Linked DNA regions of Anolis sagrei. The main gene of each other region encodes a partner of the protein of the gene in region 4 in a complex. Links are inferred from orthologs where the notes say so. Each region holds a gene or a part of one and is shown on either strand. Other genes may lie near its edges.

What was found.
Region 1: MED23 (region 4) and MED13 share a complex: the UniProt entries of both Homo sapiens proteins name them as parts of the mediator complex. The link is inferred for Anolis sagrei from reciprocal best matches to the Homo sapiens genes MED23 and MED13.
Region 2: MED23 (region 4) and MED8 share a complex: the UniProt entries of both Homo sapiens proteins name them as parts of the mediator complex. The link is inferred for Anolis sagrei from reciprocal best matches to the Homo sapiens genes MED23 and MED8.
Region 3: MED23 (region 4) and MED31 share a complex: the UniProt entries of both Homo sapiens proteins name them as parts of the mediator complex. The link is inferred for Anolis sagrei from reciprocal best matches to the Homo sapiens genes MED23 and MED31.

The regions. Positions count from the first base shown.
Region 1 is NC_090031.1:31,483,912-31,491,870, forward strand, and holds the start of MED13 (mediator of RNA polymerase II transcription subunit 13), read right to left. Parts: upstream 3,017-7,959; 5' UTR 2,727-3,016; coding exon 2,661-2,726; intron 1-2,660. UniProt on the Homo sapiens protein: Component of the Mediator complex, a coactivator involved in the regulated transcription of nearly all RNA polymerase II-dependent genes.
Region 2 is NC_090024.1:182,943,603-182,950,764, reverse strand, and holds the start of MED8 (mediator of RNA polymerase II transcription subunit 8), read right to left. Parts: upstream 2,996-7,162; coding exon 2,873-2,995; intron 1-2,872. Other genes in the region: KICSTOR complex protein SZT2, read left to right, coding at 2,976-3,023. UniProt on the Homo sapiens protein: Component of the Mediator complex, a coactivator involved in the regulated transcription of nearly all RNA polymerase II-dependent genes.
Region 3 is NC_090031.1:29,644,589-29,652,384, reverse strand, and holds the start of MED31 (mediator of RNA polymerase II transcription subunit 31), read right to left. Parts: upstream 3,020-7,796; 5' UTR 2,933-3,019; coding exon 2,923-2,932; intron 2,838-2,922; coding exon 2,760-2,837; intron 2,015-2,759; coding exon 1,918-2,014; intron 1-1,917. UniProt on the Homo sapiens protein: Component of the Mediator complex, a coactivator involved in the regulated transcription of nearly all RNA polymerase II-dependent genes.
Region 4 is NC_090021.1:82,352,310-82,360,285, reverse strand, and holds the start of MED23 (mediator of RNA polymerase II transcription subunit 23), read right to left. Parts: upstream 3,010-7,976; 5' UTR 2,925-3,009; coding exon 2,874-2,924; intron 375-2,873; exon of another isoform or gene 221-374; intron 1-220. UniProt on the Homo sapiens protein: Required for transcriptional activation subsequent to the assembly of the pre-initiation complex. Component of the Mediator complex, a coactivator involved in the regulated transcription of nearly all RNA polymerase II-dependent genes.

The DNA.
Region 1 (7,959 bases), on a different chromosome or scaffold from region 4:
CAAAATAATTTGTTTCTCTTATGACAAATGTCTGTGAACTGTAGCCTCAACCTCTATTCCATTCAAACCAGTGGTTTTGATTATTCAAGTCCATTCTAGAATTACAAAGCATCAAAGAGCACATCACTACTTTTTGGCATCCTGTTGAATACCCCCATATTGAAAATGTGTATTCTGAGAGTCTAATACATTCCTCAACATTAACTGACCCACCTTCAGATAGGTCGTTTACTGTCAGAAGTAATAACAACAACCCTGAAGCAAATAATTTTTGGAGTCAAGAATTCTGCTGAAAAATGACAACCACTGAAAAAAATAACAACTGTCCTTATTTCTGGTGGTGCAATGGGTTAAACCCATGCGCCGGCAGGACTGAAGACCGACAGGTTGGAGGTTCGAATCCGGGGAGAATGCAGATGAGCTCCCTCTGTCAGCTCCAGCTCCCCATGCAGGGACATGAGAGAAGCCTCCCACAAGGATGGTCAATCAATCAAAACTTTATTCCAGTTCATGACCAGCACAAAGTGTATATACAAATCCAGATCACAATATTGGGACCCAGTCCCATAATTCACATCCAACCCAAAGGGTTGTAGACTTCAAACTCCAACAAATTTTGAAATCGAAGCTAAAAACCAATGCAAGAAGTTATTAAAACTTAACATCAAAACATCTGGGCAACATCCTTGCAAACAGCCAATTCTCTCACACCAGAAACGACTTGCAGTTTCTCAAGTCGCTCCTGACACACACACACACACACACACACAATAAAAATAAAATTCCCTTCCAGAGAATCTCTAAGAAAGATCTAGTTTTCAAAAACACCCTGTTGGGACAACTTTAGGTAATTTTAACTACAACCCAAGTCATTCAAGACAGCTTAAACAAATATTTCTTGCTCTCCTCCATCCAGAAACACAACTTTTTGAGAAAATCACAAATACTAATGGTAATGTTTCAACCAGTCTCGGTTTTGGTTTGTTTGTAAAGCAAAGGGAGCAGCAAGTTGCAAGCAGGGCTCAGTCCAGGGTTCAACTTCACCACCCTGCGATTGGGGAAGTGCATACTCCACTTCTTTTGCAGACAATGAAGGATTTCCTGCTTATTTAACTCCAATAAGGAAGCTCCCACTACACTAGCTCTATCTGCAACGGTTTATGTTTTTGGAAAGGGGGGGGGGCTGGGGGACATAATACATTAAACACATAGGCAACCCCATGGGAGTAGGTCAGTTTTGTGATCCTGCAGAACATACCCATAACTACACATAAGCAGATCAATTTCATTATATTCCACTTCCAGGATTAAATAACACCAACCAGTCAAAATCTGCTACCAATTTGCATTAAGGGGGGGATCAGACAGAGGTCACCAAAACCTAGACTGGGCAGGAAGTTCAACTGGATCCTAACTCAATTAAGACTGAACTGGCTCACCTAACAACAATAAACAAACCAACAAATAAAGACATCAAGACAAGGGTGCAATGTAAAAGAAAGGGTTGCTACTCCCATTCATCTGTAAGTCGAAAAAGCAAAATCTCCAAATTGGATTGTTGTGAGTTTTCCAGGCTGTCTGGCCATGTTCCAGAAGCATTCTCTCCTGACGCTTCACCCACATCTATGGCAGACGTTTTGAGGTCTGTTGGAAACTAGGCAAGTGAGGTTGATATATCTGTGGAATGATGTCCAGGGTGGGAGGCAAGTGTGACTGTTACCAAAGGCCACCTTGATTAGCATCAAGCTGTTCGAAACTAGGAAAATGCTTCTTCAGGAGAGAATGCTTCTGGAACATGGCCATACAGCCAGGAAAACTCACAACAACCCAGCGATCCCAGCCGTGAAAGCCTTCGACAATAAATCTCCAAATTCCAGTGAAGGGATTTTGCCGACAACCCCCCAAGACCTCTTGTGTCACTTTCACAGTTTGGTTTTCCTTGTTATTTCTAAGGAATCAAGCAAAGTTGGCCTAGTAAACAGAAAATGCATTTTGGTGTGTATTTTTTTTGGTATGTGTATGTGGGTTTTTTTTGGGGGGAGGGGGTGAAAAAGCTGAGGAAAAAGTCACTATCAAAAAGACACACCCGAAATCTTTGTATTAGGGAAGACAGGCCAGAAATGAAAGAGGTGAAGGAGCGTGGAAAAAAAATGGAAGTTAGGAGGAGAATCGAGAACAAAAACAACAAAAGGAGAGAGAGAAGGAGGCAAAAATATAAATCCGAGGAATGGTGGCAAAGCGAAGACCAATCAGGGAAAGAAAAACAAGGGCTGGTGTACATGTACACAAATATGTGCGTGTGTGGATCTAGACATGTGTGTACACAGAGGGAGCTGGAAAAATGTCTGGCAAGGCCTACTCCAGCAGGAGCAATGCTAAAAATGGCTGCTCGCTCGCTCTCCTATTCACTCCCCTCCTTCCCTTGCTTTCCTTTCCTTTCCTCCCTTCTGCTGGTGAGCTCTCCTCTCCCTTCTTCTCCCTCCCACCCCAGACTTTCCCGTCCACCAAGGTTTATCTCTGATCCGTAAAACCTTTCCTCCTCCTTCTCCTCCTCTTCCCCCCCTTCCTTCAACCTCCACCATCATCCACCCTTTGGGTTGATTCAAATCGCCCCCCAAAACCCACCCCGAAAGGCTCCCAAGAGCCACACACCGACTCACCAGACAGAATAGGTTGGAATGGCAATCCTCCAGGCTGGCCCCGTTGGGTACGAAGCAAGAACTCATCCTCACAGCCACAACCCACACGCCATTATCCCACAAGCCTCCGACAAGAAAGAAAAGAGACAGACAGGGCGAGAGAGAGAGAGAGAGGAAGGCACACAGCCTGAGAAGGGAGGGACACACAGCACACTCTCGCACACACCAGCCAGCAAGGGAAAGGGCCCCCTTTTTTTCCTTTTTTAAAACCCACACAACCACAAGAAGAGCCCAGGGAGGAGTTTTCGGAGGGGGTTGCACGGTGGCGTGTGCGCCACAGCACACAAATAGATCGGGATAAATAATAATAATAATAATATCTATTTATTATTTAATGATATCAAATACCAGGGAGGGGAAAGGAGAGGAAGAAAGGAATCTTCTTCCTCTGAGGAGCTCAATTTCCGAACCCCAAAGAGATAAATAGAGAGGAGGTTAGAGAAAGGAGGCTGGGGTTACTTCAAGGCGAAAAGGAGGGGGGCAGAAATGGGAAAAAGGGGGGGGGGAGAGAGAAAGAGAGAAAGAAAGACACAAATAATCCAGCGATTGAAAGGCGGGTGGGAAATAAATCCAGGAATCTCTGTCTCTTTTTCCTCCTCACGAGCAGAAATGCAATATATGGGATCAAATGGTCATCTTGAGGTTTTTCATCTTGGAGAGGAAGAAATGCAGCAGATTGTTCTTTTTTCTCCCCCTCCCCTTCTTCTCGTCTCTCTCCTCAGCCAGACATAGACATATTTTCAGTTAAGTCAATGAGAAGGGGACAACTTTCTAGTCTGGTATCTCCTCGATGGGTTGAATGTGGATCAAACGTTCCCCTTTGCCCCAAATTTAATTTTTTTCCTTCTCCCAGAAGGTGGGGAATTCCTGTTTGCGTAAAGTGTCTTCCAAAGTTTCCAATAATTCAAACTTGTGGCCCAATCCAGAGGGGTCTGTAGGGTGGGAGTTTCCTGATGCAGCGGTGCGAAAGGAAGAGGGTCTGACCCAAAAGAAGAGAATTCCAAGGAAGAAAGGTTTGCTTTTGGGTTTGGGAAGTGCAAGGCCTGAACTTCAAGACCCCCCAGAGACACTGAAAAGATGCAAACACTCCTCCAAAAAGAAAAAGTTCTGATTTTTCTGACACTGTAGTTGAACAAAACTTCTGCTTCAGGTTGTTGACAGAACCTTTCGAAAGGAAAAACAGCCAAAAGAAAAGTTTTGTTTCTCCCCTCTTGTCAAGTCCACACTGGAGGGTCCTTTTTCCTTGACAGGAAAAAATGGGGAGAAAGAACTTCTTTCGAAGGGAAGAAGAGAAAAAAACAAAACACCTTTTCCTCAAAATCCCAAAATTAATTCCTCGGCAGAAATGACAAAATCCCTTCTCCCTTGTTCACTTCCTTCTGATGTCTGCTTTTTTCTTCCCCTGAACCAAAATAGGGGTATTTTCCAATAATTATAATAATGACAATAATTTAAAAAGGCGCGGAGAATGAAAGAAATAGAAGATCAAGACGAATCCGTTGGGTCAATCTGCTAGGCCAGAAGTCTCTGGATGCTTTTTGTTGTTGAAAGAACCACCAAAGAGTCCTTATATTCCCTTCTCCTTCTTTAAATGGACTCACGAGAAAAGAGAGGAGGTGAGAAAGTTAGACAAACAGGAGCAAGGAGCTTGTCTCTTTTCCTTTCTAGAGAGAGAAGATAATTCTATTTCAATAGATCAAAATGGCGTGGAATTGTGGAAGGATGTTTATGTATAAATATAAATGTCTCTAGGTGCCTCTCTATGGAAGCTCCCTTCCTTCTTTCCTCTCCTAAAAGGGATTCTTTTGGGCCTGTATTCTCTTCTTGTTCCCAAGAGGTGGTTTTCCAAGTGAGAAAGTTCAAAACAAACCGGAACGAGGAGCTTGTCTCTTTTTTCCTTTCTAGAGAAGATAATTCTATTTCAAGAGATCAAAATGAGGTGGAATTGTGGAAGGAAAGGGTTCTTGAAGACGTTTATGTCTATAGGTGCCTCTCTATGGAAGCCCTCTTCCTTCTTTCCTTCCTTCCTCTCCTGAAGGGATTACTTCAGGTCTGTGTTCTCTTCCTGTTTCCAAGAAAACACAGGGGGTGAGAAAGTTCTAGAGCGGAGGGAGAAGGTAATTCCACACCCCGATGTATCAAAATGCTGTGGAATTGTGGAAGGAAAGCTTTCTTGAAGATGTTTAGGTCTATAGGTGCCTCTCTAGGGAAGATTTCTTCCTTTCCTTCTCTTCTCCTGAAGGGATTCTTTCAGGCCTGTGTCCTCTTCCTGTTTCCAAGAAAAGGCGAGAAAGTTCAAGAAATCAGAACGAGGAGCTTGTCTCTTTCAAGAGCAGAAGAAGGTAATTCCACACCTCGATGTATCAAAATGGTGTGAAATTGTGGGAGGAAAGGGTTCTTGAAGATGTTTAGGTGCCTCTCTAGAGAAGCTCCCTTCTTTCCTCTCCTGAAGGGATTCCTTTGGGCCCGTGTTCTCTTCCTGTTTCCAAGAAAACACAGGAGGCGAGAAGATAATTCCACACCCCGATGTATCGAAATGTTGTGAAATTGTGGGAGGAAAGGGTTCTTGAAGATGTTTAGGTCTATAGGTGCCTCTCTAGGGAAGCCCTCTTCCTTCCTTCTTTCCTCCCCTGAAGAAATTCTTTCAGGCCTGTGTTCTCTTCCTGTTTCCAAGAGGAGGTTTCTCAAGTGAGAAAGTTAAAAGCTTGTCTTTTTTTCCAGAGCAGAGGGAAGAAGGGAATTCCACACAGCGATGTCCCAAAATGGGGTGAAATTATGGAAGGAAAGAGTTCTTGAAGATGTTTAGGTGAGCTCCCTTCCTTCCTCTTGTGGAGGGATCCTTTCAGGCCTGTGTCCTCTCCGTTTCCAAGAAAACACAGGAGGAGAGAAGGGAATTCCACACTCCGATGTCCCGAAATGGGGTGAAATTGTGGGAGGAAAGGGTTCTTGAAGATGTTTAGGTGCCTCTCTAGGGAAGCTCCCTTCCTTCCTCTTCTGGAGAGATCCTTTCAGGCCTGTGTTCTCTCCCTGTTTCCAAGAAAACACAGGATGTGAGAGGGTAATTCCACACCCCGATGTCCCAAAATGGGGTGAAGTTATGGAAGGAAAGAGTTCTTGAAGATGTTTAGGTTCCTCTCTAGGGAAGCTCTCTTCCTTCCTCTCCTGAAGGAATCCTTTCTCTCCCTGTTTCCAAGAAAACACAGGAGGTGAGAGGGTAATTCCACACCCCGATGTCCCAAAATGGGGTGAAGTTATGGAAGGAAAGGCTTCTTGAAGATGTTTAGATCTATAGAGTTCTTGAAGATGTTTAGGTCTATAGGTGCCTCTCTAGGGAAGCCCTCTTCTTTCCTTCTTTCCTCTCCTGAAGAAATTCTTTCAGGCCTGTGTTCTCTTCCTGTTTCCCAAGTGAGAAAGTTAAAAGCTTGTCTTTTTCCAAAGCAGAGGGAAGAAGGGAATTCCACACCGCAATGTCCCAAAATGGTGTAGAATTGTGAGAGGAAAGGGTTCTTGAAGATGTTTAGGTGCCTCTCTGGAGAAGCTCTCTTCCTTCCTCTCCTGAAGAGATTCTTTCAGGCCCTGTTTCCAAGAAAACACAGGAGGTGAGAGGATAATTCCACACCCCGATGTCCCAAAATGGGGTGAAATTATGGGTTCTTGAAGATGTTTAGGTGCCTCTCCAGGGAAGCTCCCTTCCTTCTTTCCTTCCTCTCCTGAAGGGATTCTTTCAGGCCTGTGTTCTCTCCCTGTTTCCAAGAAAACACAGGAGGAGAAGGGAATTCCACACCCCGCTGTCCCAAAATGGTGTGGAATTGTGAAGGTGTTTGTGCCTCAGTATCAGTGTCTATAGGTGTGTCTCTGAGGAGTCTCTCTCTCCTGCTCGCTTTCCTCTCCTGAAGGGCTTCTTTGGGGCCTGTGCTCCCTCTCTTCTTCCTGACAGGAAGCCAGGCCGCTCTCCCCTGACAGGTAGGCAGAAAGAAAGAAGGGCCTTCCTCCTTTTCCCCTCTCCTCAGCGGTGCCTCTGCTTGCGGCTGCCCAGCCTCGGCATCCTGAGAGGTGGCTTCTCCTCCTTCTCCTCCTTCTCCTCAGCGAGTCTCTCCCATTCTTCCTTCGGCAGCTGAAAAGGTTGACAAACCAAAAACAAGGGTGAGGGGGGGGGGTTATGAATCAATCTCCCCTCCTTCCCCTCTTCTCAATCCCTTCCCAAGGACTTACTCTCCTCCCTCCTCCTCAGAAACAAGGCCTGGATCCGAGGATGATGAGGATGATGTGATGTTGCCCTCTCTCTCTCTCTCTCCCTCCTCCTCCTCTCCCTCCTCCTCCTCCCTCTTGTCTCTTTCTCCTCTAATGGCGGCCAAACAGCAGGCCAGCGTCGTCGAGAGGGGGAAATCGCGCTCCCATTGGCTGCCCTCCTTTTCTGCCTTCGCCTTCCCGCGCCGCCCATTGGAGGAGCGCCCTGTCACGTGGCGGCGCGTCCCGCCTCCTTCTCTTCCCCCCTCCCCTCCCCCCAGATGGCGAGGAAGGGAAGAAGGAAGGAAGGAAGGAAGGCAGCCCGCGCAGGCGCAGAAGCGCCGCCAGGGGCGCCAGAGAGCCAGCCAGCCAGCGAGAAGGGAGGCGGCGCCGCCAACGAGATCCACCGCGGCGGCTGCTGAGCCAGCGCCATCTAGTGGCTTGGTGGGAAAAATGCAGGGGGAGTCTTCATTAGTCTGAACATTGCTATCTCTATCTATCTATCTATCTATCTATCTATCTATCTATCTATCTATCTATCTATCTATCTATCTATCTATGTATCTATGTATGTATGTATGTATCTATCTATCTATCTATCTAGCTATGTATCTATCTATCTATCTATGTATGTATCTATCTATCTATGTATCTATCTATCTATGTATGTATCTATCTATCTATCTATCTATCTATCTATGTATCTATCTATCTATCTATCTATCTATCTATCTATGTATCTATCTATCTATCTATCTATCTATCTATCTATGTATCTATCTATCTATGTATGTATCTATCTATCTATCTATGTATCTATCTATCTATGTATGTATCTATCTATCTATCTATGTATCTATCTATCTATCTATCTATGTATCTATCTATCTATCTATGTATTAACGATGTATCTATCTATCTATCTATGTATCTATCTATCTATCTATCTATCTATGTATCTATCTATCTATGTATGTATCTATCTATCTATCTATGTATCTATCTATCTATGTATGTATCTATCTATCTATGT
Region 2 (7,162 bases), on a different chromosome or scaffold from region 4:
AATACTCACAGGGAGGTCTGCCAATTACTTCATCTGAAAATATAGCCCTCAGCACCCAGTATTCATTTGCACTTTCCTATCCAAGTACTAACCAGAGCTGTCCCTCCTTTACTTCCTAAATCAGTCAGGATCTGAGGCATCTTACTACTACTACCACTACTGTGTGGTGTATCGGCAAATAATGCATGCAGATATGAGTAGGGTGGCCTTTTGCTGCTGACAGATGGTAATTTTGTCAGCGCTGATTGTGTTCAAGTGCCGACCAAGGTCTTTAGATACTGCACCCAGTGTGCCGATCACCACTGGGACCACTTTTACTGGCTTGTGCCAGAGTATTTGCAGTTCAATCTTTAAATCCTTATATCGTGTCAGTTTTTCCAGTTGTTTCTCTTCAATCCTGCTGCCGCCTGGGATTGCAACATCGACGATCCATAATTGGTTTTTAAACACATTTGTGAGGTCAGGAGTATTGTGCTCCAAAACTCTGTCAGTCTGAATTTAGAAGTCCCAGAGTAGTTTGATGTGTTTATTTTTTGTAAGCTTTTCAGGCTTGTGATCCCACCAGTTCTTTGTTGCAGGCAGATGGTATTTGTGGCACAAGTTCCAATGAATCATCTGAGCAATGGTATTATGCCTCTGCTTGTAGTCTGTCTGTGCAATCTTCTTGCAGCAGCTGAGGATGTGATCTATTGTTTCGTCTGCCAGTCTACACTTGGGGTCTGTCATCAACTTTTCAGTCTGGCTTTGATAGCATTTGTTCTAATTGCCCATTCTTGGGCTGCAAGAATCAGGCCCTCTGTCTCCTTTTTCAAAGTTCCATTTGTAAGCCACATCCATGTTTTTTCTTTGTCAATTTGGTTCTCAATTTTTCTCAGGAACTGTCCATGGAGAGCCTTCTTTTGCCAGTTTTACCTTCTGCTCTGCCTTGTATTTTTGCGGTATTCACTCATTGTCTTTTGCACTTGAAGCAGTTTTCTACCATTGACTTCCATCAATGTTGGTTCTTGATTGCCTTTCACATAATCTGCCAGTGTATGTTTCTCTTCTTCTGCTGTTTGTTTCACTTGCAGAAGCCCTCTGCCTCCTGATTTTCTGGGCAGGTAAAATCTGTCGACATCATTACGTGGGTGTAATGAGTAGTGGACTGTCAGCAGTTTTCTTGTTTTTCTGTCTAGATCATCCAACTTTGAGTGTGTCCAGTTCACAATTCCAGCAGTGTATCTGATGACGGGGATGGCCCAGGTGTTGATAGCCTTGATTGTATTTCCACCATTTAATTTGCTCTTCAAAACTTTTCTGACCCTTTGGACGTATTTTTTGCTGACCACATTTTTCACATGCCCATGCTTGATATTGTCCAACTGTAGTATGCCCAGATATTTATAGGCTTCAGGCTGATTGCATTTTATAGTCTGTCCGTTTGGCATCTCTATACCCTTGCTGTGAGTAATTCTCCCTTTGTTTAATGCCATTGCGGCACATTTGTCTAGGCTGAACTCCATACTGATGTCAGTCCTGAAGATTCTGACTGGATTTCAGTTTCATTATTATTATTATTATTATTATTTGAAACACAAAAAGATTAGTACACAGCAAACAAGATCACTCTGTTGTGCTGGATCACACATCCAACACTTCCCTAGTAGTAGGAGTAGGAGTAGTTATTATTATTATTATTATTATTATTATTATGTGTTTTTGGTATGCAGTTTTTTCCTAACTCTATGTCCTTGAGGTTGTGGGAGGGGCTGTGGACAATGTGACCAGATCAGGGACTGTTTGGAACACAGTTAAAAGATGACAGTTGAGGAATGACCATTGAAGATGACAGTTGGAAGTTGACCGTTATAAAGGAGAGTTGTACAGAGCTGTATAGTGTTGAAGTGACTGATAAAGACTGAAAGTTAAAGACACAAACTGAAATGTTTTAGTTTAAACAAACAAGAAACATGTCTGTATATTTAAATACATGAGGTTGTGAGTAAAACAAATATGTTATTTTAAAGAAATCTACTTGATTTTTGTCTCCTGAGAGAATGGAATAGAAACAAGATATTTATGGGAGTAGATGTCTTTTGAACACTAAACAACACCTTTGAAGATCTGCTAAATATATATATTGTGTATTGGCATATTCTCTGTTGCTAATAGTTCAGAGTCACCTGGAAATCAGTCTAGCAGCTGAATTGCAAAGTATAAATACACATAGATACAATGTCTTTTCTTAAAAGATATAAAGCTTATGGTTTTCCCAATTGGTCATAATCAGAGCCCCCAGTGGTGCAGTGTGTTAAACCCTTATGTTGGCAGGACTGCTGACCGAAAGGTTGACGGTTCAAATCCAGGAAGAGGGGTGAGCTCCCACCTTTTCATGCGGGGACATGAGAGAAGCCTCTCACAAGGATGGTAAAACATCCAGGCGTCCCCGAGCAACATCCTTGCAGATGGCCAATTCTCTCACACCAGAAGCGACTTGTAGTTTCTCAAATCATTCTTGATATGAAAAAAAGGTCAAAATCCTCCATTCGGTTATGTGACCTGTGATTATCCAATAGTTAAACCATCAGAGAAAGGGGGGTGCGCCTACACTGTAGCATTAGTGCAGTTTGAGTCCACTTTAGCTGTCATGGGAGTGACAGTTTGGTGAGACACCATCAGTCTTCAGCAGAGAAGACGAAAAACTTGGTAAAATTCCCAACAAATTCCATAGCCTTACACCTCTCTGGCAAAGAGTGCTGATGTGTGAACACACTATAACTCCCAGGACTACATTGTAAGTGGTGTCGAACTGCATTAATTCTACAATGTGGATGCACGCAGGCACAACCCCACTCCCTTAAGAGCCTCAACCCAGCCTCCGCTCCCGCCTCACCTGCATGGCGACGGTGATATAAACCCTCCCGCGCCTGGGGGGAGTTCCTTTGCAGGGCTGTTTCCTCTTCCGGGTCGGGACTTCAGGAGGTCGAAGGTCCCGGATGAGGGCGGCGCCAGCCATGGCGGCTTCAGAGAGACCCGACGCGGAGGTACTCTTCTTTGCCCTGCCGCCGCTCGGGGCGAAATGGGTGGGAGGCGGCAGGGAAGCTTTGCAGGCCTTGCAGGGTGTGCATACACACGTGCAGCCAGACACGTGTGTGAAGGGTGGTTCCCAGTCCTGGCGAGCTGGTTGAAAGAGTGGGCAAAGAGTCTGCCTCCCACCTGAAACCCTGTGGCTGCCTCCTGCAGGATTCTGGGGCCTGTAGTTGAGTGAGAGCCAGGGTCTCTCTGTCTGAGGCTCTTCCCTAAACTACGAGCCCCAGAATTCTGCAGGAGGCAACCGCGGGATTTCCAAACGGGAGGCAGACTCTTTGCCTACTCCTTCAGCTCGAGTGTGATAACTTTAGTAGACGAGTCTCCTCTTTGTGGAAAAATAAAGAGGGGAGCCCTTGCCAAGAGTGTGGGACTCCAGAGCCTCGCCTGAAGGCAGGTTGAGTATCCCACAGCCAATATCCTCCAGAAGAAAGGGTGCACACACTCTAGACTTAATGCAGTTTGACAACACTTGTATTATTTATTTATTTATTTATTTATTTACTTTGCTTATATACCGCTGTATCTCAAGCCTGAAGGCGACTCACAGCGGTTCACAAACAGTAGAAACAGTAGAAACAGCAGTGGTTCCATACAACATATAACAATTGACTTAACACATTATCCATAAATTACCAATAAGCAATTACAATGCACAATTATTACAAAAAACAACCGTACACAATGTACTTCTAACCGTACTTCTAACAGCCAGGGCTCAATGCTATGGAATCATGGGAGGTGTAGTTTTACAAGGTCTTTGCCTTCTCTGCCAAAACATGCTCTTTTTTAAATCATGTCAGAAGCGACTTGAGAAACTGCAAGTTGCTTCTGATGTGAGAGAATTGGCTGTCAGCAGAGACATTGCCCAGGGGATGCCTAGATGGGTTATTTGTTTGTTTGTTTTTTGTTGTGTCAGGAGCAACTTGAGAAACTGCAAGTCACTTCTGGTATGAGAGAATTGGCCGTCTGCAAGGACGTTGCCCAGGGGACGCCTGGATGTTTTGATGTTTTGCCATCCTTGTGGGAAGCTTCTCTCATGTCCCCGCATGGAAAGCTGGAGCTGATAGAGGGTGCTCATCCACCTCTCCCCGGATTCGAACCTGTGACCTGTCAGTCTTCAGTCCTGTTGGCACAGGGGTTTAACCCACTGCGCCACCGGGGGCTCCTAGATGGGTTATCATCCTGTGGGAGGCTTCTCTCATGTCCCCGCATGGGAAACTGGACCTGACAGGCGGGAGATCACCCCATCTCACTGGAGCCCCCTGGGGCTCAGTGGGTTAAACTCCTGTGCCGGTAGGACCAAAGACCAACAGGTCGCAGTTTCAAATCAAAGGAGAGTGTGGATGAACTCCCTCTATCAGCTCCAGCTCCTCATGCGGGGACATGAGAGAAGCCTCTCATAAGGATGGTAAAAACATCCGGGCCTTCCCTGGGCAACGTCCTTGCAGATGGAAAGGAAATTCCATCTGAACATGTGGAAAAACTTCCTGACTATGAGAGCTGTTCAGCAGTGGAACTCTCTGCCCCGGAGTGTGGTGGAGGCTCCTTCTTTGGAGGCTTTTAAACAGAGGCTGGATGGTCATCTGTCAGGGGTGATTTGAATGCAATATTCCTGCTTCTTGGCAGGGGGTGGACTGGATGGCCCATGAGGTCTCTTCCAACTCTATGATTCTATGGCTAATTCTCTCACACCAGAAGCGACTTGCAGTTTCTCAAGTCACTTCTGACACAACCCAAAAAAAAGGGATTTGAACCTTTAAACCACTGACCTTTAGGGCAGCAGTTCAACCAGCACAAGGGGTTTAAGCTATTGCACTACCGTGGCTCCAGCCAAGAGTGCTGGTGCTTCACCAAATCGCAACTCCCTTGACTCCTTTGCCTGGAGCCATGGCAGTGAAAGTGTGGTGTCCAGCTGCATTAATTCTACAATATAGATCAGGCATGGGCAAACTTTGCCCCCCCCCCCCGGTGTTTTGGACTTCAGCTCCCACAATTCCTAACAGCCAAAACACCTGAAGGGCCTGAGTTTGCCCCTGCCTGGTATAGATGCCTATAGTGACATCTTCGGCTTTGTTGGTTTAATCACATGAACCTTGGTTTGTGGGAAGTTCTGGAAGGGGTGCCAGACTGCAGAAAAGATTGAGTAACCGTAATCTGATCCATGTTGGTAATTGAGAGAACAACACCTTTGGCTTTGTTGGTTCAATCACACAAACATGGTTTGAGGAGAGCTCTTGCAAAGAGTGTGGGGTCCCCATTTTGGAGTGAAAGTTTTGTAAAAGGCATGAAACCCCTGTTTTGGCGGGGAGCTCTTGTAAAAGGTGTGGGGCCCTAGTGCCAGACCTGAGTGCAGGTTGAGTATCCCCAGTACACAATACTTCAAAATGGTCAATGTGGTTTACTGATATAATAACACCTTTGTTCTATTTGCTTATTTATTTACTTTGTTTTTATCCGGCCTTTCTCTAGATATAGGGTCACATAGTGGCTAACAGCAAACATAATATGAGACAAACAGAGCAAATTCATGGGAATATAAATATTAATATTGGAAAAATTAACTTTTTCTTTATTGTTAATAATCAGAATTGAAGTACAGTAAAGCTACATTTAAAAACTACACACCCCCCCCCCCAAGACAACACACACACCATTCCCATTGGTTCAATTGCACACATATGATTTGAGGGGACCACCATTTTTAAGGGGAGCTCTTTCTAAGCATGTGGGACCCTTGGTTTGGAGAGGAGCTCTTTGCAAAGAACATGGGACCCAAGTGACAGACCTGGGTATGGGTTGAGTATCCCAAATCCAACATTCTGAAATGGCCCATGTAGGTAGCTGAGGGAGTGACACTTTTGGCTTTGCTGGATCAGTTGCACAACCATGGTTTGAGGGGAGATTTTGCAAGGGATGTGGGACCCCCGTTTTGGAGAGGAGGTTTCGTACAATGTATGAGATCTCCCTTTTGGATGAGAGCTTTTGCAAAGGTTATGAAGCTCCATTTGGAAGCTGATCATAGAATCATAGAGTTGGAAAAGACCTTGTGGGCCATCCAGTCCAACTCCCTGCCAAGAAGTGGGAAAATTGCATTCAAAGCACCCCCAACAGATGGCCATCCATCTCATCTTTGCAAAGATTGTGACCCCTCCTTTTTTTTGTGGAAAAGAGTGTTTGCAACGAATGGGGGATCCTGGTGCCAGACTTGAGTTCGGGTTGAGTGACTGAAACCTGAAATGGCCCCTAATGGCCCACGTGGATGGCTGATAGAGTGATACCTTTAGCTTTGATAATTCAATGTATATAAAAGTAGCTTCATGCACAAAGTGATATAAAAGTTTGTGTATAACAGTGATCCCCAAGCTGTTTTCCTCCAGAAGTTTTGGACTTCACCTCCCAGAAGCCTCGGCTGCCTTGATCAATCATCAGGAATTCTGCAGGGTGAAGGCCAAAACAACTGGAGGACTAGAGTTTGGTGACACTGAGGTGTAAAATTACCTTCAGATTATGCTTTATGATGTGTATATGAAGCATTTGTGAATTTCATGTTTGGACTTGGGTTACATGGTTGCACTCCAAGAAGTTTAATTATTATGTATATACAATTACTGTGGGCCTTGGTATCTGCCAGAGTTTGTTTCCAGGATCCCTGTTGATACCAAAATCCATTGATTCTCAAACCTCATCATGTACAATAACATAGTTAAATGATGTCCCTTATATAATATGGTAAAATTAAGGTTTGCTTTGTGGATTTTTTTTTGTGGGAAATATTTTCAAGGCATGGATGTTTGATTCTGTGGATACAAAGGGTTCCAAGTATGCTCTGGTTCCAAGTATTTTGGATAAGAGATACCAAATGAAAACAGAGTGAATCCTTATCTAAACCAAAAAGCAAATAAACAAGCCTCGTCAGTTTTCAACCAGACCCATCTTTCCCAAGAGTTTGCAGGAGGCCCATGAGTTACAGGCAAGTTGCCTGTTGAACAACAAGACAAAACGATTTTGGTGAATAAGAACCTGCTTGAGATTGGTTGGTGTGCAGCTTTATGAAGCTACCGTCTCTGTAAAAATAAGGGTGTGCAACTATGGC
Region 3 (7,796 bases), on a different chromosome or scaffold from region 4:
TCCCTTCTGAAGCTTTTAAACAGAGGCTGGATGGCCATCTGTCAGGGGTGATTTGAATGCAATATTCCTACTTCTTGGCAGGGGGTTGGACTGGATGGCCCATGAGGTCTCTTCCAACTCTTTGATTCTATGAACGCTGTTAACTCCCCACTGGAGTGGTACCTATTGATCTACCCACATTTTATAATAAATAATATAATAATATAATTATAATAATATAGGCATGAATGTGACTCCGTATTTCCATCAAACCTCTCTAATGATGTTTAATACTTTTTTGATATTTGTGTATTTCAGATTGTGTTGTCATGCTTTGAGTCCCCTTATGGAAAGAATAAGCTGGGTGTCGACAAACATGATCACAATGTTTCCTGCTAAAGAAAGGCTCTTACTTGAGGAACTTGGTGTAGCCGGGCTCCTTCCAGTACAACAGGGCTTGATAATATAATATAATATAATAATATATAGGTAAAGGTTGTCCCTTGACATTAAGTCCAGTTGTGTCCAACTCTGGGGTTGGTGCTCATCTCCATTTCTAAGCCGAAGAGCCAGCATTGTCTGTAGACACCTCCAAGGTCATGTGGCCAGCATGACTGCATGGAACGTGGTTAACTTCCCACTGGGATCTAGTCACATTTAATAATATATAATATAATAATATAATTATAATAATATAGGCATTAATGTGACTCCGTATCTCCATCAATCCTCTCTAATGATGTTTAATACTGTTTAATATTTGTGTATTTCAGATTGTGCCATAGAATCATAGAGTTGGAAGAGACCTCATAAGCCATCCAGTCCAACCCCATTCTGCCAAGAAGCAGGAATATTGCATTCAAAGCACCCCTGACAGATGGCCATCTAGCCTCTGTTTAAAAACCTCCAAAGAAGCAGCCTCCACCACACTCCAAGGCAGAGAGTTCCACTGCTGAACGGCTCTCACAGTCAGGAAGTTCTTCCTCATGTTCAGATGGAATCTCCTTTCTTGTAGTTTGAAGCCGTCATGCTTTGAGTCCCTTATGGAAAGAATAAGCTTTTTTTTTTTTCTTGTCAGGAGCGACTTGAGAAATTGCAAGTCACTTTTGCTGTGAGAGAATTGGCCGTCTGCAAGGACGTTGCCCAGGGGACACCCGGATGATTTGATGTTTTTATCATCCTTGTGGGAGGCTTCTCTCATGTCCCCGTATGAGGAGCTGGAGTCGATAGAGCAATGTTTCTCAACCTTCCTAATGCCACGACCCTTTAATACAGTTCCTCATGTTGTGGTGACCCCCAACCATAATATTATTATTTTTTTGCTACTTCATAACTGTAATTTTACTCCTGTTATGAAACATAATTTGGGAGTTGTAGTTGTTGGGATTCATGGTTCACCTACAATCAAAGAGTATTCTGAACTCCACCAACGATGGAATTGAACCAAACTTGGCATACAGAATGCCCATGACCAACAGAAAACACTGGAAGAGTTTGGTGGGCATTTGACCTTGAGTTTGGGAGTTGTAGTTCACCTACAGAGAGCACTATATCTGGACCAAACTTGGCACAAATACTCAGTATGCTAAATGTGAACACTGGTGGAGTTTGGGGAAAATAGGCATTGATATCTGGGAGTTGTAGTTTTCTGGGATTTATAGTTCACCTACAATCAAAAAGCATTCTGAACCCCACCAATGATAGAATTGGGCTAAACTTCCCACACAGAACCCCCATGACCCATAGAAAATACTGTGTTTTCTGATGGTCTTTGGTGACCCCTCTGGCACCCCTTGGCGACCTCTCTAGGGGTCCCGACCCCCAGGTTGAGAAACACTGCGATAGAGGGAGCTCATCCGCCTCTCCCCAGATTCGAAAGAATAAGCTGGGTGTCAATAAACATGATCACAATGTTTCCTGCCAAAGAAAGGCTCTTACTTGAGGAACTTGGCGTAGTCGGGCTCCTTCCAGTACAGCAGGTACTTGAGGTAATTGGCAAAGGCCTTGTCCTTGAAGAAGCCCCTCTGGGCCAGAACTGGAAGGAGGAAAAGGAACACAAATCAAGTCAGACACAATGGCCAGTTCTTGACCAGGCCCAAGGGGAGGGAACAACGTGTTCCCATCCACCTGCGCCACTGATTATCTAGCAAGCCAATCTCCTGGGAGAGTACAGCTTGGCCTTGCTTGATTAATTCACCTATTCATTCCTCGTATTGTCTAAGGCTTTCATGGCTGGAATCACTAGGTTCTTGTGGGTTTTTTCGGGCTATATGGCCATGTTCTAGAGGCATTTCTCCTGACGTTTCGCCTGCATCTATGGCAAGCATCCTCAGAGGTAGTGAGGTCTGTTCGAACTGGGAAAAAGGGTTTATATATCTGTGGAATGACCAGGGTGGAGCAAAGAACTCTTCTCTGCTGGAGCTAGGTGTGAATGTTTCAACTGACCACCTTCATTAGCATTTGAAGGCCTGCCTGAGCCTGGGAGATTCAGCAGGAGATTTTCCCAGGCTCAGGCAATCCTTCAAATGCTAATGAAGGTGGTCAGTTGAAACATTCACACCTAGCTCTAGCAGAGAAGAGCTCCTTGCCCCACCCCAGCCATTCCACAGATATATAAACCCATTTTCCTATTTCCAACAGACCTCACTACCTCTGAGGATGCTTGCCATAGATGCAGGCGAAACGTCAGGAGAGAATGCCTCTAGACCATGGCTCTATAGCCCGAAAAAACCCACAAGAACCTATTCATTCCTCCTTCAGTGGGTACCAATGGGACTCACAGTTGAGGTAGTTGGGGTTGGCCAGGCACTGCACGAACTCCAGCTCCATCTGGAAGCGCAGGCGGTTCCCGCCGTCCTCTAGGAACAAAACCACAAGGAAGGAAGGTCAATGAGGCGCCATTCCCACAATCCCCAGGAAGCCCTTTCCCCGTGCTAGTCTCACCGGTCTCCATGGCGACGCCGAGAAGAGGCCTGCCTTCCGAACGCTAGGCCGCAAAAATATGGCGGCTGGAGCCCCCCGCGCCTGCGCACTCGAGGGTCCGGTATCCATGGCGACGGCGCCCTCTCCGAAAGTAAGGCCTCCCATTGGCGGGTTTAGGCCCCGCCCCCCGGACCTGCGCTCTTGGAGGGAGAGGAGGAGGGCGGCCATGTTGTCGTCGCCTAGGCAACGGAGAGGCCTTGTCTTCCTTTGCTTTTTGAAGCGGGACTGGCTCTCCCCACTCCCTCCCCGTCTGCATTATGGTCCTGAAGCGTCCAAGGAGGCCGTCAAGAGGAACCCAAAACCATCTAGTCGAGGCATTGAAGGCACCATCTAATCCCTCTCGACAGAGGGCCACTCAGCCTCAGCTTGAAAGCCTGCAGAGAAGGAGATAGATTTGTATGGAATGAAACATAGATAGAGAACTATAGAGTTGGAAGGGACCCACAAAGGCCATCCAGTCCAACCCCTAAAGGATAAATAGATAAGTAGATAGATAGAATCCTAGAGTTGGAAGGGACCCAAAAAGGCCATCCAGTCCAACCCCTAAAGGATAGATAAGTAGATAGATAGAATCTTAGAGTTGGAAGGGACCCACAAAGGCCATCCAGTCCAACCCCTAGTAGATAAATAGATAAGTAGATAGATAGAATCCTAGAGTTGGAAGGGACCCACAAAGGCCATCCAGTCCAACCCTTAATAGATAAATAGATAGATAGAATCCTATAATTGGGACTCCCTAAGGGCATCCAGCCCAACCCCTAATAGATAAATAGATAAGTAGATAGAATCCTATAATTGGAAGGTCATTCAGCCCAACCCCATCCTGCCATTGAAGACACGATCCGACCCCTCTCAACAGATGGCCATCCGGCCTATCCTAGAATCTTTGTATCCTAGAGTTGGAAGGGAGGAGCAGAAAGATAATATTATTATCTATGCATCATCATCATTATTAGACTTCTAGAGATGGAAGGGATCCCCAAAGGGCTATCCAGTCCAATGCACTTCTGCCAAGCATATTATCCATTAATTTTTAAAATTATTTTACTGTTATTATTATTATTAATTTTATTTAATTTATTTATTATTCAAACTTATATGCCGCCACTCCCCTGGAGCTCGGAGCGGCTTACAAGAACAGGCTAAAATCTAACACAATTTAAAAACAATTTAAAAAAAATTTTAAAGACAGTAATATCAAAGATCAAAGGCCTATCAGACACCTAGAGTTGGAAGGGACCCCCAAGGGCCATGCAGTCCAACCCCTTCTGCCAGGAAGGAAAATAGAATTACTATTATATTAGTATTCTTAATTATCTTATTATTATTATTATTGGATTACTATTATATTATTATCCATTATATCAGAGGTCCTCAAACTAAGGCCCGGGGTCCGAATACGGCCCTCCAAGGTCATTTACCTGGCCCTCGCTCAGGGTCAACCCAAGTCTGAAACGACTTGAAAGCACACAACAACAACCCTATCTCATCAGCCAAAAGCAGGCCCACACTTCCCACTGAAATACTACATTTGTTAAAATTTGTTAAAATTTGTTTAAAATGTTCGTTTTAATTATTTTTTAAAATTATTGTATTGTTTTTAACTGTTTTTTGCACTACAAATAAGATATATACAGTGTGCAAAGGAATTCATTCATGTTTTTTTCAAATTATAATCTGGCCCTCCAACAGTTTGGGGGACTGTGACCTGGCCCTCTGTTTTAAAAGTTTGAGGACCCCTGCATTATCATCATTAGACTCCTGGAGTTGGAAGGGATCCCCCAAGGGCCATGCAGTTCCCCCATCTGCCAGGAAGGAAAATAGAATTACTCTTATATTATTATTCACTATTATAAATTATTACCGTATTGTCGAAGGCTTTCATGGCTGGAATCACTGGGTTGTTGTAGATTTTTTCGGGCTATATGGCCATGTTCTAGAGGCATTCCCTCCTGATGCTTCGCCTGCATCTATTGCAAGTGTCCTTAGAGGTTGGGACCTCACAACCTCTGAGGACGCTTGCCATAGATGTAGACAAAACATCAGGAGAGAATGCCTCTAGAACATGGCCATATAGCCCGAAAAAACCTACAAGCCATAAATAATAATAATAATAATAATAATAATAATTACTATTATTATTGGATTACTATTATATTATTATTCATTATATAATTATTATTATTAGACTCCTAAAGTTGGGACCCCAAAGGGCCATGCAGTCCTACCCCTTTCTGCCAGGAAGGAAAATAGAATTATTATTATATTATCATTCATTATTATCAATTATTATTATTGGATTACTATTATATTATTGTCTATTATGTAATTATTATTAAACTCCTGGAGTTGGAAGGGACTCCAAAGGGCCATGCAGTCTATCCCCCCTCTGCCAGACAGGAAGATACAATTACTATTTAATATTATCTGTTATTATTATTGAATTACTGCGACCAAAAGGTCACAGGTTCAAATCTGGGGAGGGGCGTGAGCTCCCGCTGTCAGCCCCAACTTCTGCCATCCTAACAGTTTGAAAATATACAAATGTGAGTAGATCAATAGGTACCGCTTCTGTGGAAAGGTAACGGTGCTCCATGCAGTCATGCCGGCCATATGACCTTGGAGGTGTCTACAGACAACGCCGACTTTTCGGCTTAGAAAGGAAGTTGAGCACCAACCCCCAGAGTCGGACATGGCTGGACTTAATGTCAGGGGGAAACCTTTACCTTTACTATTATATTATCCATTATTATTATTATTATTATTATTATTATTATTCTCCTAGAATTGAAAGGGACCCCGAGGGCCATCCAGTCCAACCCACTCTTCCAGGAAAGAAAATAATATTACTATTATATTAATAATAATAATAATAATAATAATTATTATTATTATTATTATTATTTGAAACAAAACTAAATGAGACCACAGCAGACACTCTGCTGGCGGTTGAATTGGATCACACATCGGACACTTCACAAGTGTCTAGGACTGTGTGATGTATCGGCGAATAATGTGTGCAATTATTATTATTATTATTAATATTATTATTATTATTATTATTATTGAAGGAAGATGCCATCCCTCCCGACCCGTGGCCATTTAACCTCAGAGATATTAGCAAGTTTATGGAGAAGTATGGCTATGGAATTCTGAGATCCTCTAGTTGGAAGGAACCCCCAAGGGCTATCCAGTCCAACCCCATTCTACTATGGAGGAGGGCACAGTCAAAGCCTCTGCTTCAAAGCCGTCCAGCCGTCCAGCCTCTGCTTCAAAGCCTCCAGAGAAGGGGACTCTGTGACAGAGACTCCAGTGCCGAACAGCTCTTCTTTCCAACGAAACGTTCTTCTTAATGTTCAGGTATGACCTTAATGGGAGAAAGACTGCCAGGCATGTCCAAAGCCCGGTCTGGGGGCCAATTGTGATCCTTGTTCAAATTCCTATTGGCTCCTAACTCTGTTATAGAATCAACAACATGCGGGCATGCCAGCACTGTTGACCACAGTATAAAATACATGTGTACAAAAAAGTGACAATGTAGAGGTACAACAAGCGAATTCTTCCCCAAAGATATATATACAAGATATATACACACATACACACACACACTAGCCTGTGTACTTGGTGTTGCCCAGGCTATTTGAAAAAGTCAGATTTTTAATTGTCCAATATGCATAAGGTTGTGGGTGAACTACAACTCCCATCGTGCCAGGTTAACCCCCTGAAACTCCATCAGTACTTCAGGTTTGTTATGTTGGGCAAGTTTGCTCCATATGTACCATCAGTGGGGTTCAGTGTGTTCTTTGGCTGCAGGGTAAACTACAACTCCCACCATGATAAGTCAATCCTCTCAAAACCCCACAGTTGGTTCAATTCGTCTGTGTGTCAAGTTTGGTCCCAGTTTATTGTCACTGGTGGTCACAGTGTCTCTGGTTGTAGGTGAACTACAACTCCCAGAAATTATGGTCAGTTTCCCGCAAACCCCTCCAGTATATTCAGTTGGTCATAGGGGTTCTGTGTGTCAAGTTTGATTCAGGTCCGTTGTCGGTGGGGGGATCACAGTTTCTCTGGTTGTAGGTGAACTACAACTCCCAAAATTCAAGGTCTATCCTCCCCTAAACCCCTCCAGGAATCAAATTTGGCCGTATCAGGTATGCGTGCCAAGGTTGGTCCAGATCCATTGGTGTTTGGGTTCACAGTGCTCTCTAAATTAGGTGAACTACAACTCCCTCAAATCAAGATGAATTTTCTCCAAAGACCTCCCATATTTTTTGATGGTAATTCGGGTTCTGTGTGCCAAGTTTGGTCCAATTCTCTTTTTGGTGGGGTTCAGAGTGCTCTTTAGTTGAAGGTAAACTATAAATCCAAGCACCTACAAGTCCTCCCAAAACCCACCAGTATTCTAATTTGGGCATATAAGGTATGTGTACTAAGTTTGGTCCAGATCCATCATTGTTTGGGTTCACAGTGCTCTCTGGATGTAGGTGAACTACAACTCCTATAAAGCCATACAAAGACTTCCAGTATTTTTTGTTGATCATGAAGATTCTGTATGCCAAATTAGTTCCAGGTCCATAATTGGTGGGGTTCAGAGTGCTCTTTGATTGCAGGTGAACTATAAATCCCAGTACCTATAACTCGTATAAATGAAGGTGAATTTCTCCCAAAGCTTTCCAGTATTTTTGTTGGTCATGGAGGTTTCTGTGTGCCAAGTTAGGCCCAGGGGCATCCTTGGTGGAGCCCAGAGTGCTCTTTGATTGCAGGTGAACTATAAATCCCAGTACCTACAACTCCTATAAATGTAGGTGAATTTCTTCCAAAGCTTTCCAGTATTT
Region 4 (7,976 bases):
TAGCTTTCAGCCATAGCAGTTAAACTGATGTCAAACTGTATTCATTCTACCATGTAGATAAACCCTTAGTGGTTGATAGCTGAAGTTTGTAGCTTTCCAATCTGATCTATTCAGAAGTGTATTCACTAGTAAATTCAGTCTGCTGTCATGGAGAAGTGAATGTAAGTGTGAATTAGATGGTCAAAAAGAAGTTTCTCTTCAGATCGTATAAATCTTTTACCTTTTACTTCAAAAGATCCTTCCACAAAGAATCTGGAGCCTCAATTTGAAGTTGGCTTTGCATTCCATGTTGCTTGGGAAAGTTAAATCAGTATTTGCTCTTTTGACATAATACCTTTTGGTTCCTTGTTTGTTACGGATTTCTCTAGTCACTTCTGTGGACAGGAGAGCCCAGCAAGGGCAATCAGGAAGTACATAAACGCAAAGGTGGTCTTAGCCATACACCTTGTCTCTCTCACACAGAAGATCATCACATCAACAAAAGAAATAAGACAACAAAGGGGCTGCTTATGACATTACATTTTAAATCTCCTGTCTTAAAAATACAAAGTGGCTGGATGAGTCTAGCATTTTGGATTCCAGCTCTGTGCAAAATGTTGACATGGGTGGAGTAAATTCATCACTGACTGTAAACACAAAGTCATATTATAATTCTGAATGATCTGGAGTTAAATAAAATATATATGACGAAATACAGGTTTTTCCTGTATTTTCAGGTGATTTTATAGTTGTCCGGAATTAAATGTTGACTCATAATTTGGAACAAGTTTCTAAATTGCACTGTTCTGCATTGTACTTTTTTCCCTTTTCCAAGATGCTTTCTTGTTTCCCTGAAGAGATTCTTCCCTTCTCTTTATATTTAAAGTGTCATGATGTATTGTTATTGCCGTTATTGCTTGCTTAACTTATTGATTTGCTATGTTTTCTACTGTTGTGTTGTTTTACTGTATTGTGTTTTGAGGCTTCGGCCTGCGTAAGCCGCATCGAGTCCTCCGGGAGATGCTAGCGGGGTATAAATAAAGTTAATAATAATAATAATTAATAATAATTACAAGCACAAGTTCAAGAACAGTTGAGTTCAATGAAACGTATTCCATAGTAAAAGAGCTAGTAATAAATAGCAGGTCAGATATGATCCCTAGCTTCTACAAACTCCTTTTCTACAAACTCCTTTTCTTCCAAAGCATTTTTTTGTGATCTCACATCCAATATATTTGCTTCCTCACATCTAGAATCATAGAATCAAAGAGTTGGAAGAGACCTCATAGGCCATCCAGTCCATCCCCCTGCCAAGAAGCAGTAATACTGCATTTAAATCACCCCTAACAGATGGCCATCCAGCCTCTGTTTAAAAGCTTCCAAAGAAGGAGCCTCCACCACACTCTGGGGCAGAGAGTTCCACTGCTGAATGGCTCTCACAGCCAGGAAGTTCTTCCTAATGTTCAGGTGAACATTAGGAAGAACTTCCTGACTGTGAGAGCCGTTCAGCAGTGGAATCTCCTTTCTTGTAATTTGAAGCCATTGTTCCATGTCCTAGTCTCCAGGGAAGCAGAAAACAAACTTGCTCCCTGCTTCGTATGAGACGAACACAAAACCAAACTTTGAAGCATCTTAAACCACTTTATTGAAGCACAGGGTTTCACAGAATTGAATCCAAATTATCTAATATATGAAGTTTTGCATTCTGTTAACAGGAATATGTGTGTGTGTGTACACACACGAAAAGATTCTTAGGGCACTTTCAGACAGTCCATATTACAAGAGGGATCCCCTCACTTCTGCAGGAGTCTACCGTATACCATGCTGCTGTGGACAAGTCTACATACGGACCACCAAACGCAGCAATGCCCAAACACGAGTCAAGGAACATGAAAGGCACTGCAGACTACTTCAACCAGAGAAGTCAGCCATAGCAACCTGGACACAGCATATTATTCGAGAACACAGAAATGCTGGACCACTCTCACAACCACCATGTCAGACTACACAGAGAAGCCATTGTAATCCACAAGCATGTGGCCAATTTCAACAGAAATGAGGAAAACATGAAAATGAACAAAATCTGACTACCAGTATTAAAAAAATTCTAAAATTACAACACCAAAACAACAGAGGGAAAACAATCAGGGACATCTATTCATCTCTCAACAAAAGATTGCCCCAGGCACTGCTAGGCCATCAAATGCTAATCAATTTGGTCAGTTGAAACATTCACACCTAGCACCAACAGACAAGAGTCCTTTGTCCCACCTGGTCATTCCAGATATATAAACCCATTTTCCTAGTTCCAACAAACCTCCCTACCTCTGAGGATGCTTGCCATAGATGCAGGCGAAACGTCAGGAGAGAATGCCTCTAGAACATGGCCATATAGCCCGAAAAAACCTACAACAACACAGTCCATATTATCTCAGGATCTGATCCTAGGTTTTCTGCTTTAAACTGGATTACGTGAGTCCACATTGCCAGATAACCTGGGATGTAGGGCCTGTCTGGAAGAGCCCTCAGGCATTGCAAGGGTGGCCTCCCCCAGGGCCAGGAGGATGAGGAACAACAGGTTAGGGGCGAGAGAGGCCTGTGGCCCATAGGCAGCCCTTGTGGCAAGCCACACGTGAACTGCCTAAGCATCCTGGGCTTATCCAGAAATCGGAAAGACTCCAAAAATCTGACACTCTCTCTCTCCGCATGGGTGGCTGAGAGAGTGACACCTTGGCTGTCTAATCGAATGGGTTTCTTTCAGATGCCACTGGACGACACCGCCCATCTCTTTGGGGCGAAGGGGAGCTGCAGACCAAACCCCACCAGGAAGGCATCAAATCGTCCTCCCTCCCTCGCACTCCTCCCTCCCCGGAGCAGGAGAAGGCGGCGCTCACCACCACTTCCTCGAAGATGCTCTGCAGCTGGGTCTCCATCGGGACCGCCATGCTGAGCGGAAAACGACCCCCGCCTCTCGCTGGCAGGAGCCTCACCGCAGCCACCGGCCCCCACCCCGGAAGGGATCCCCTTCCACATCCGGGTCTCCTTAGAGAGAGGAGGCGGTGTCTCCTCGGCGCTTTGCAAAGCGAAGCCCTTCTAGGAAGCAGAACGGAGGGAGTTCGGTAGCGACCCCTGCAGGAGGAACGAGTTAGTGCAAGCCTATGGGTTACATTGAATCAATGAATTAATGAATGAATGGGGCTTGGCCATAGCTCAAGGCAATGGGAGCAGGCTCATAATAAATTGTGGCAAGTTCTTGGTGGTATGGGGATACCAAGACACCTTGTCCGCCTCCTGAGAAATCTGTATAATAATAATAATAATAATAATACTTTATTTGTACCCCGCTACCATCTCCCCAAGGGACTCGGTGCAGCTTACATGAGACCGAGCCCACAATACAACAATAAAAACAATAGCAACAGTAATACAAAACAATAATAAACTCATAAGCAGAAAATAAGCAATAAACATTAACAATAACACAATGACATTTAAAAACCTATGGCTGGGCCAAATGTAATAATTAAAAATTTAAAAATAATGCTGGGCATGACCAGGTGACATATAACTAGGATAGAAATTTTGGAGAGGGATGAAACATGCAGACAATCCTAGATCACTAATAAAGTGCGTTTAGGGACATATTGCTGGGAGTTTCCTTATTCTGGGAAGGCACACTGAAACAACCACGTTTTCAGGCTCCTCCTAAAGACTGCCAGAGTTGGGGCATGCCTGATGTCCTTGGAGAGTGAGTTCCAGAGTCAAGGGGCCACCACTGAGAAGGCCCTCTCCCTCGTCCCCACCAATCGCGCTTGTGATGGAGGTGGGAGCACGAGCAGGGCCTCTCCAGATGATTGAAGAGATCGTGTGGGTTTGTACACAGAGATGCGGTCACGCAGGTAGGCGGGTCCCAAACTGTTTAGGGCTTTGTAGGTAAGCACCTACACCTTGAATTGGGACCAGAAAATGAACGGCAGCCAATGGAGCTCCTTAAACAGAAGAGTTGACCACTCCCTGTAAGGAGCACCAGTTAACAACCTGGCCGCCGCTTGTTGGACCAATTGAAATTTCCGGGCCATTTTCAAGGGTAGCCCCACGTAGAGTGCATTGTAGTAGTCCAATCTGGAGGTGACTAAGACATGGACCACCCTGGCCAGATCCGCCTTCACGAGGTATGGTCACAGTTGGGGCACGTATAACTTATTGTCGAAGGGTTTCATGGCTAGAATTACTGGGTTGTTGCAGGTTTTTCGGGCTATATAGACACTAGCTGTGCCCTGCCACGCGTTGCTGTGGCCTATAGTAAAACTTATCAAAGTTGAGGTAGATATCTGGACTATTATGAAAGAGAGGTACCTACCTATTCCTTCCCCCTTTTCCTCCCCCTTTCCTTTCTTCCTTCTCTACCTCTTTCTTTCTTTCACTACTTGGTTTCATCCTTCTCTCTGTCCTTCATTCCCTCCCCCTCCTTCCTTTGCCTTTCTTCCCTCCCTGTTTGCTTCCTTCTTTCACTTTTTATTTCCTTTTATTTTACCACCATCATAACAATAACAATAATGCAATGCATTGCCTCTGGGACTTGACACCTCTCCCATTCCTCCAGGGTCTCATAGGAACAATAGCATAATAATAATAATAATAATAATAATAATAATAATAATAATAGAAATAACAACCTTTACCCGCCACGTGTTGCTGTGGCCAATCTTCCCTCTTTCTCTCCTTCTTTCCCTCCTTCCTTCCTTCCTTCCCTCCCATCTTTCCTTCTCCTCTTCTTTCTCTATCTCTTTCCTTCCTTCCCCCTTTTTCTTTCTTTTCTGCTGTCTCTCTTTTCTTTCCTTCCATCTTTCCTTTTCTTTCCTTTTCTTCTTCCTTCTTTCTCTAACTTTCCTTCCTTCCCCCTTTTTCTTTACCTCCCTTTCTCTTTCTTCCTTCTTTCCTTCCTTCCTGTCTTTCCTAGATTTTGACAGGGCGGGAAGGGGCGGGGTGGGGTTTGGAGGTGGTGTGAAGTAAAAGGAGGTAAGATTGGGGTGGGGGAGTGATGGAGCGTGGGGTTGTGTGTGTGTGTGCAGCGGCGGGGGGAGTGATGGAGCATGGGGTTGCGTGTGTGTGTGTGGCGGTGGGGGGGAGTGATGGAGCGTGGGGTTGTGTGTGTGTGCGGCGGCGGGGGGAGTGGGGTTGTGTGTGTGTGTGTGGCGGCGGGGGTAGTGATGGAGCGTGGGGTTGCGTGTGTGTGTGCGGCGGCGGGGGGAGTGGGGTTGTGTGTGTGTGTGTGCGGCAGCGGGGGAAGTGATGGAGTGTGGGGTTGCGTGTGTGTGTGTGGCGGTGGGGGGAGTGGGGTTGCGTGTGTGCGTGTGCGGCGGCGGGGGGAGTGATGGAGTGTGGGGTTGTGTGTGTATGTGCGGCAGGGGTGTGTGTGTGTGCGGGAAGCGGCGCAGCGGGGCTTGGAGTGGGCATGGTTTCCACAGAGGGAACGTTGGCCGGAAGGGCATGTGCGCGCGCCAGGGAACTTGCGGCTGGGCGCCAATGCGCATGCTCAGTTGTTTTGCCGTTTTGTGAGTGTGTTGTTGTGTTGTTTTTCATTTAGAGTAGATACGTTTATACCTTGTGGGTTGTGTTATGGGCATGGGAATTTTGGTTAAGTTTCGTTGGGGTTTTTTTGAGTTTTTTTTTTGCCGTTTTGAGTGTGTTGTTGTGTTGTTTTTCATTTTGAGTAATATGTTTGGGTTGTGTTATGAGCATGGGCATTTTGGTTAAGTTTCATTGGTTTTTTTAGAGTTTTATCCATTCCTCGTTGGATGCCCCTAACAAATTTATATATATAGATGTTCTAGAACAGGGGTCGTCAAACTTTTTAAACAGAGGGCCAGGTCACAATTCCTCATACTGTTGAAGAGCCGGATTATAATTTGGAAAAAAAAATGAATGAATTCCTATGCACACTGCACATATCTTATTTGTAGTACAAAAAACACTTAAAACAATACAACAATTAAAACGAAGAACATTTTTAACAAATATAAACTTAGTATTTCAATGGGAAGTGTGGACCTGCTTTTGGCTGATGAGATAGGATTGTTGTTATTGTGTGCTTTCAAGTCGTTTAAGATTTAGGTTGACCCTGAGTGAGGCCGGGGTAAATGACCTTGGAGGGCTGTATCCGGGCCCCGGTCCTTAGTTTGAGACCCCTGTTCTAGAAGCACTCTCTCCTGACGTTTCACCTGCATCTATGGCAAGCATCCTCAGAGGTTGTGAGGTCTTGTGAAATCTACGGCAAGCATCCTCACAACCTCTGAGGATGCTTGCCATAGATGCAGGTGAAACGTCAGGAGAAAATGCTTCTAGAACATGGCCATATAATCTGAAAAACCTATAACAACCCAATCTGTATAACAATCAAGTAGTAATGAGCCCGAGCGCAGCGGGGAGCCCCACCTTCACATTGGTGTGAGCTGCAGCGGAGAGTTCCGCAGTTCCTGGACCAAGCTTTTGGGACCAACAGATGAAATGTGCCCCAGCGGCTAGCTCAAACCCAGGAATGCTTGCAGTATTCATCTTGCTTTCCCCTTCCCTTTACTTTGTATCCTTTCCCTAATAAAAGTACTTGAAACTTGCAACTTTTTATCTTTCCGCATGCTACTTTTGTATCCTTTCTTGACTCAAACAAATAACATTGCAATAGACGTTTTTTTTGGGCTCCGGAGGACCGTGAGCCCGCGGGGGGCGCCTCCGGGCGCTCCCCGGACCCCGAATCTGCGTTCGCCTAGACCACGGATACGGAAACCGCCATTTCAGACCTCCTTATCCACAAAAATACTTAAAATGGCGGATCGCCGCCGTTCCAATTTTATATTTTTCTACAACTAATTCTAAGACTAACTGCCATTTCCCTTTTCTCGTTTTGGGCTCCTTCACCCGGGGAAAAATTAGTTTTGTTTTAAGTATTTTATCTTGCAGAGAAACAGCTGATTGTCAATTTGGCTGGGTTTTCCGCTCCTCCGCAGCAGTGCTCGCTCCCAATTCAATCCAGCAGCTTGGGACCCACGGCGGTCGCCCGTAGGAGCCCCGGAGAGGGGGCCAGGCATGGGTCCCGGGCTCCGACCAGGGAGATACAGTTTCCCAAAGGACATTGCCCCACCAATCACAGTTTGGAAATCCTCTTCGGACTCTTTTGCCCTCACTTATTGACTTTCTGCCTTATTGTCTTGGACTGTTTCCCTGCCATGCTTTTGGACACAAACCTTAGACCGGGCTTGCCTGGAGGGACAAGCAGCCTCAGCCTACGTGCGCCTTCACCAAGAAGACTATGATTCCTACAAAAATAAAATACATTTATTATTATTTTTAATAAACTTTGCTGGGATGGGGATGGGAATTTATTTGTGAGATGTATGAAGTATATAAGATGTATATAGTGGAATATCATATGAAATGTATCCTGATTCCCCTTCCCGCCTTTCCCTCTGAACTTCGCCCCAAATCCAATCATAAGACCAGGAAACTCATTGTTTCCCTTGTCTGCCACCCCGCCGATGGGAACAAAGGCTCAATAACAGCTGGCGGATGCCCCCTGGGCACTCCATTTCCACTGAGCTGTCAAACTTCATCCCGCCTCCTGGCTGCTGATTGGACCATCGTCGGAGGCGCTAGGAAGACGCCGATTGGCCCCCCAGAGGCGGCCGAGCTCGCTGATTGGACAGGAGGCGGGACGTACAGCCAAGCCTCCTCCCAGCTGTTCCGCGGCCGGCCAATCAGGGTGAAGCCGGCCGGCAGAGGGCGGGCGGGATTTTCAAAAATATTTTCTTTGTCTGTATGCTATAAAAATGCCTGGAACTTCTGTGAATGTATGCTTGTATGTGAATGATCACTGCAATCACATCCTTTTCAGCTGAATCGCAGAAATAAACGCTTCGGTCACTGAACCTCTTCAGCCTCTGGTGAGATTAATTTTTAGTATTTTTTGCTCTTTGGATTGGCTTTCGCTGGCTGCTCACCGA